Linked DNA regions of Caenorhabditis elegans. The protein of the gene in region 1 interacts with the protein of each later gene in a pairwise test. Each region holds a gene or a part of one and is shown on either strand. Other genes may lie near its edges.

The links.
Region 2: the proteins of mes-1 (region 1) and nep-2 interact in a two-hybrid assay, tested with the Caenorhabditis elegans proteins (one large-scale study listed by BioGRID).

Annotation. Positions count from the first base shown.
Region 1 is NC_003284.9:11,855,345-11,859,096, forward strand, and holds the start of mes-1 (Protein mes-1), read left to right. Parts: upstream 1-2,133; 5' UTR 2,134-2,156; coding exon 2,157-2,276; intron 2,277-2,334; coding exon 2,335-2,418; intron 2,419-2,472; coding exon 2,473-2,572; intron 2,573-2,626; coding exon 2,627-2,850; intron 2,851-3,064; coding exon 3,065-3,382; intron 3,383-3,450; coding exon 3,451-3,613; intron 3,614-3,660; coding exon 3,661-3,752. UniProt on the Caenorhabditis elegans protein: During early embryogenesis, controls asymmetric cell division and the asymmetric localization of P granules of germline precursor P2 and its descendant P3.
Region 2 is NC_003280.10:2,723,735-2,727,486, forward strand, and holds the start of nep-2 (Neprilysin-2), read right to left. Parts: upstream 2,019-3,752; 5' UTR 1,928-2,018; coding exon of another isoform or gene 1,874-1,927; 5' UTR 1,808-1,873; coding exon 1,789-1,807; intron 1,552-1,788; coding exon 1,387-1,551; intron 1,066-1,386; coding exon 904-1,065; intron 850-903; coding exon 646-849; intron 493-645; coding exon 404-492; intron 355-403; coding exon 266-354; intron 1-265. UniProt on the Caenorhabditis elegans protein: Required for olfactory plasticity, which is the change from positive chemotaxis to dispersal after prolonged exposure to an odorant. Thought to antagonise snet-1 by degrading excess snet-1 peptides and thus enabling olfactory plasticity.

The DNA.
Region 1 (3,752 bases):
TGATAGTAACCTGAGAAAACTAAACCAACGTTTTAGCTGTGTTAAAAATCGGCAAATAAGAAATATGACCATTTGATTACAATTATATGAAAAGAAGGAAAATTATATTTGCACAATATTGGAAGTATTTTGTCCCCTCATAAAATAACTACATTCCCATGAAATGGGGGTTGTATTAGATTTGTTTTTTTTTGCTAAAAAGCTCCTTGGTATAATTTCTGAGTTGCGGGAGTAATGGTAACGAGGCTGGTAGCAATAGTAATTGATATTTCAGAGAGGTCAATTGAGTAAACAAATGGAAAAAATTGTGTTTTAATTTGGGCTTGCAATGTGATAAGAAGCACAAAATATTGAGAAGACGAACTAAACAACGTAGTATATTTTCAGCCTTTGATAAAATTGTTAATCTCTCTAACATGTTCGTGTTTTAGCGTTCTGAACCTACAACCAAAATCTTCAAAATGTAAAAGTAATCAATTACAAAAAAAAAAATAAAATTCGACCAATGCGACACGAATTGGTAAAATTCTAGATTTATGATTAACTGCCTTTTTTCCAAATTTTTGAACAGCCATTAAACTTTAAAAAATTTTATGAGAATTCATATTACGATTTTTTTTCAAAATTACTTTTAAAAGCGCAGGTGTTATACAAAAGTACAAGCGTTTAAGCATGCGTAAAAAATTTGCAAAATAATCACATATACAAAAAATGAAACAACTTCTAATTCGTCCCAGCTAGATTTTCGAGTGAAAAAATCAATGACAGATAGAAAGTTGATCTATGTTTTGTTTACTTTTCAACACCAGAAAATGTATTCTGGTATGACTAATATCAAAATTTGCAACTGAATAGACAAAGATGAAAACTTTTCAACATCCAACAGTGGAGGCTTCCAATCACTTTGAGTGCACAACTGGAGAACTTCAAAAAATCTTTCAAAAAAGAGAACACTCCTGTTTCTATAGCATACTCTATTGGCGCAAAAAGAAAATTCCAAATCTCTACGAAGAAACTGGAGACGAATCTGGCCCATATTTCAACAACGCCTCTATGGGATGTCGTTTGCGACGACGGCGAAGAAGAGACGCTTGCATCTGCCACGTAGGGTTTGCATAAATCAAATTGAAACGGATTCGGTTGACACCCCAAAAATGATGAAAACGAAAAAAAGGGGAAACGAGAGTGGAGGTGACTGAAAAGCTCTCGATCTTCATCGTATCTCCATGACTCCATTCTTTCATAATCTGGAGTGGTGTTCGATATGTTGGTCAATATCTAGAAAAGAAACATATGTGACAGGCTAAAACAAATTTTCAGAAATTTCAAACAGCTAAAAACTAGGATTTTTGGAAACTTTGCTTTAATTACTGCTCAACTCAAATATTTCACTACATCTCACACTATGTATTTACGTTCATTTTCCCCATTTTTTTATTTTTCGAAGTTTTAATAAATTCTTTAAAATATTCGAGATTTTACTATAAGAATTTTATAATTTCGTCGTTCTGTAAGTCGTTTCAATAAGGTTTGTATTTTTTCTCCGTTTTTATTTTTTTTGGATATTTTCAAGGCTGTATATATAATACTGGGTGAGAAATTAGACGCAACTACGAAAAATATCATCAGAATAATTAGTCATCTCGACCTGATTGACAATTCTTTGAAATGAAAAATACTTTTTTTTCAGTTTCTAATAATATGTGACCCCTCTATGACCTACTCTCCAAACTCTTTGTTACCGCGATGCGTCATGCAATGATGCATGCGTCTCTTGTATTGTTTTGGACTCTTGTCGTCTATACTACACACGCACACACAGAGAGACCGTCTTCCTGAATGAAACTTGGCACAGTGCCCGCGCTGTTGTGATCACTGCGCAACATGGTCCTCTCCCTTCCTCCTCCTGCGTCTCTCGCAGTAGAGTGTTGTCTGCAAACCGTTCGATAATTCTTGCGGGGCAGAGTTTTTTGTTGTTTTCTGTTTTCAAATCTTCATTGTTTTCATCTTATCTGCTCGTTTCTTTTTTCATGATTGAAAACTGTTTATCGAAATAATATTTTGCAGCTTTGCAAAGTTGCAAACATGCTTCGTTTTTCCTCACAAATTCCGACAGAGCTTTCATTTACTTTCAGTTACCATCACCTGATGCCAGCATGAAAATTCATCACTTTCTCACACTTCTATGCACATTCCTTCCCTTAACCACCACTGCACTTACTAACTCAACTCCACTGTCACTATTAGGACCATGCTACAAGCGTTGTGTCACAAAAGTGAGTTTTTGAAATTATTTTTGGCTTTTTATCTTGTAATTTCATAATTTTATTTCAGTTTGGTGAAACCAAGGAACAACTCACAAATGCAGAAACCATTTCCCTCGAATACGATGTTTCGAATAACACGGAGTTTTCATTGGTTTGTTTCCTAATTTTGTTAGTTAACAAAAAAAATGATTTTAAAATATTTCAGTGCAAGCTGGGATGCAACAGCCACGAATACACCGATCTGAATCTGGCAGCTTTCCGCTACGGACAGCTGGCATACCAGAAAATCCTCACCACAGTCGAAGGTTTGGATTCACAGAAAAACAATTATTTATCTTATTAACCTAAACGTAATTTAGATGTACCAACCCGCGGAACTGTTCTGAATGATGTGTTCATTGTGTGTCTGGATACTTCATTTATGCCGTCCAACAACTCAGCACCGTCCGCCAAACGTCTTCTATCCGGCACAGTTCTTCTCGTTCTTGATGAAGATGTTGCCAAAGCGGATAATGTGTTTCTTATAGAAGTACTTGCTCGAAATGCAGACAAATCTGCTGTTCAGGTGATAAGCCAACAATGGGTGAGTATAAAAAAACAGCTGAGGTACCACACAGATGTAGGTATGTAGTCCTTACATGAGCATGAACAACCGATCAAAAACGTAGCATGAAAATAAATAATTCAACCGTTATTTAAAATTTTCGTGATATGCTCCAACATTTAAATTAACGTGTTTTTAAAAGTAATAATTTTTGCTTATTCCTATACCAGATAATATAAATATTCATTTCCAGTGCTACTCATCCAACTGCAATATCACCTTCAACGCTCCAACAGAAGTTTCTAGTTTTGACGTCCGTCTCCGCGTGTCCACGTTTGATAGCAATGGTCAAGTCGGCGGCATCAATTTTTCTAAATGGCACAATATCAATCAGATTCTGACAAAAACTTTTGTCGACATGTCGCTGAAATCGGTTGTATGGAAAGCTGAAAAGGCTGCCGCAAACTTTGTTTTCAATTTGACTGCAAGTGACCATGTTCCAGCTTGCTCTCTTCAAATGATCTATCGAAGTTCTCTCAGTTCAGAGCTTTTGCATAGAAACTTTTATTTGGTACGTTCAGTCATTTTTATTTTGAGTTGAAATCCGCACATCTTACTCAAACAAAAACATTTTTACAGGATCACACTCTTGAAGTTTTTGTCAACAACTTAGATTTCGACAAGATCTACACAATGCAACTTGCTCCTTCCGGTACCCACGATCGCTCAACACCTTCACTTGCATCGGCAGTTATTGAGATCCCGCCATGTAGACATTTAGTGGATGACTACAGTATGTGTGGTAAGAGTGAAACTTAGATAAATGTTTAAAAGTAATGTATTCTTCAGCACCGCCGCCTGTCTCATCACTAAGTTACAATTGGAACTTATCTCCTACTAGTGAATATGAGCTTCTTATTAAATGGAAGCTCTTGAATTAC
Region 2 (3,752 bases), on another chromosome or scaffold:
AATTGTTATCACCCAAGCTTTACCCAATTTTACTCCGCTTGCCCAAAATTTGCCCAAACTCGCTTATTTGTCAAAAAAATTTGCACGTTCTCTGCCCGTATTTTGCCGGTTTTTTGCCTTTTTTTTTGCTTGTTTTTTTGACTGTTTTTGCTTGTTTTCTGCCTGTTTTTTTTTCGCCTGTTTTACCTGTTTTGCCGGTTCTTACCCGTTGTTTGCCCGTTTCTTGCCTCTTTTTTGCCTCTTTTCACCCTTCCTACCCCCTTACCGTATCAACTGCAAGTACGCCATGCGCTCCTCGTTCTCGGCTGCCACGTAGAAATCCCGGGCGAATAGGTTAAGCTGTGGCTGATCAATCTGAAAATTTATAACTTTTTTAAAAGAATGAATTTCTGCTGAAAATTACCAGGAGGACGTGGCGCTGAGAATTTTTGTCGTCCGGTTGAACAGTCGCTTTAAATAGGCTATCTGCTTTGAATTTGGCCACCATGTCGGCTGAAAATTCCAGATTTTTGAGAGGCTTAAGCAAACGCGCTCCACCGAACTACGGAGATAGCAAGCGCGCTCCACTGAACTACGGAGATAACAAGCGCGCTCCACTGAACTACGGAGATAGCAAACGCGCCCCACTGAACTTCTTTCACTCACCGTACAACATCTCAATACTCGCATCGGGCTTCATCTGATGCCCGAGACTCGGCCATCCGCCGAAACTTTTCACCACCTCGTCGAACGTCGTCCGCCAGTTGTCCAGAATTTCCGACTCGTTCAGACACAAATTATAAAAATATTTGGCCTTCCCGACGGCAGATGTCTCGTAGTCATACGGCTCGTCGTTCTCGTCGAGAAGTTCTGAAAAAAGGGAATTTCTGGGTTGTCGAATAGTTGCCGAGAAAAAAAACAGACCTTTCAGCGCAAACTCGAGGTCCTGGCCGAGGTTCTCAAAATTTGAGACACTCGGCGCGTCGTCTGGTATCGGGTGTCCTTTGATCCATTGACCACAAGCGAATTCGTAGAAATCATCGCAGGGGTCGACGGAAGAGTTCATGGATGATAATATCACGGATGCTGGAATGAGGATAAGTATGGGTACTTCTATGGGACCTATGGCCCTTGCTAAGGATCATGTGGGTCGAGTAGGCATTTGCTATGGGACCTATGGACTGACTAGGATCCTTCAAAGAGGTAAGTATGGGTCTTTGGGGCCTACCCATGGAAACATCTGTGGGTTGGGCCTGTGGACAATTTGGGACTACTAGGACCTATTGATACCTATCCCACAAAACCACAGATCCCTCTATCTTTTTCTTCCCGGAACTCTTCCAAATTTGGAACTCATTACGCTCGCCCTAATGAACCCCAAATTAACTTCCCCCAAAAAAAACCCACCAGTTTTGATGCATCCCGGCGAAAGACAAACGTCTGAGCTGTCCTTATAGTTGATGTAGAAATAAATAGCGGCGCCTAAGACTAACAGGAATAAAATGAGCAATATCAGTGCGATGATGGCCCATATCCTCGTCCATCGCGATCCGGGGCTTTTTGTGGTGCCATCTGGAAGTAGGAAGATTTGTGGTGGACTGGGAAGTTTGAAACGAGAGAGGATCAGTAACTGTGCTCTACTGAACTATAAGCTTCAAATTTTGCTCCACTGGACTAGGGCCTCTACAATGGCGCTCTACAGGACTCCAGGCTCACTGTAAGGACGCTCCAAACAACTACAGGATCATTGAATTACTACTTTAGAAACTGCGCTCCACCGAACTGTGTAGCTATCGCGCTCTACCTCACCTTCCTCGTCGGGCCTCATATCGGGAGGCGTCCGACCGTTCTGCTCCGGCTGCTTCGCAATTTTGGCTCGACCGGGCTCCGAGAGTCAAATCCAAGTAAGTTCCAGAACTTTCCAAATTTTTCTCAGCCGTTTTTCCAGTGGTCCGCGACTTGTATTCAAGGCATGGATTCTTTCACCCTTTCAGTTTTTTTTCAGATGTTTTTTTTAGATGTTTTGGGGCTTTTTCCTTTCTCTCTGAAAATTTTAGGGAACAGTTGTTGCGGAAATACTTGACAAATTTGGGCGAAAAAAAAACTAACACTTTTAGGAAATGGGAAGGAAAACAACGCGCGGAAAATTGAAAGAAAAACGGAAGAAATATGAAGATTTATTAGAGGAGAAAGAGATGAATGTGTGAATGAGATTTTTGAAGCTGTGGGGTAAAGTGGGAGGACAAACAGACAAACAAACAGACAAACAAATTTTCAGAAAATTCAGAACGTTTGTAAAACTTTTTCTGGAAAATTTGAATTATTTAGCACCAGCTTAGCAATTGCTAATTAATTAAATAATTTTCAGCGGGAACTTGAAACTTCAATTAAATTTTTTTCGAGAAAAACAGGAAATTTTACAAAATTTTTCAATTTTCAAATTTTTGAATTAGTCAAAAATTTTAAATTGTTCCGGGAAATTTAAGAAATTTGGGAAGTTTTCAAGAAATGTTTTGGAATTTTTTTTTTCCAAACTTTCTGAAAACTCCAAAATATTTTTGGGTTTTGCAAAATCACGTGGTGTCAGGCTGTCCCATTTTGGTTTGATCTAGGTAGATCTACAAAAAATGCGGGAGAAGAGACGCAGAGTTCTCAACTGATTTTGCATGGTTAAGAACGCGCTGACGTCACATTTTTTGGATGCGAAAATTCCCGCATTTTTTGTAGATCAAACCGTAATGGGACAACCTGGCAACAATTTTTTTATCAATTATTTTCCAAATTTCCCAAAAAAAAAACAAAACTTTCAAATTTAGCTCCCAAAAAACCCGCCGCCGAAAAAAAAACCGAAAAACCAAAGCACCACTTAAAATATGATGAGGTCGTTTTTATAAACTTTGTGCAAGTGTCTGTGTTTTCTGTTACAAAAAAAAGAGCCCCCCGGAGCCGCTGTTGTAAACAATTGAGGAACACTGGGCGCGGCTTGGCACAGTGCCAAGTGGGAATCGGAATGGGCGGAGTCAGAAGTTATACAATTTTTTTAAAATCCTTTTTGGCGGTAAAAAAGCCCGTTTGGTATTTTTTTTGAATAACAAAATTGGGCGGGAAAATTTAAATTTCAAAAAAAAACTTGACGATTTTGGCTGAAATTTCAAATTTCAAATTTTAGGTAGAAAACAAATTCTAAAAAATTGTACAAAACCGGAAAAAGTGCTACGCGACATGTGTGTGTGCCTATCATCATCACATCACTCAAAATCAAAATATTTCGACTAGAGCTCCCGGAGCCACTTTGCGAAGAGCATCGTCCCTCAGCCAACTGTTCCCCCCATCGCAATCTACCCCAATTTTCGGCTTGAGCGTGTGTGATCAATCTTAAAAATGACGCACACGTGTCAAAATATATATAGGAGGGAAAAAAGTTTTTTTTGTGGAGAGTTGGGAGCAGGAAAAAAGAGCGAAGAATGTTGAATTTTTGATCGACGCGCCTGAAATTGGGATTTTGAAAAAAAAAATCGATGAGTCAGGTATCTGGAAAAAAATGGGGAAATTTCGTCAAGCTATTCGGCAAATTGAATTGAACAATTTTTTAAAGAGAAATTTGGATTTTTGAAAAATTGTTAGGGTATTTTATTTTCTCTCCAAAAATATACTCCTTAAAATTCCAAATTACCGCCAAAAAAAATATTTTTTATAAATTTTAAATTACCGCCAGTGATATATTTAGTAAACAATTTAATTTCCGCTAAAAAAATTAGTCTTAAAAATTTTGG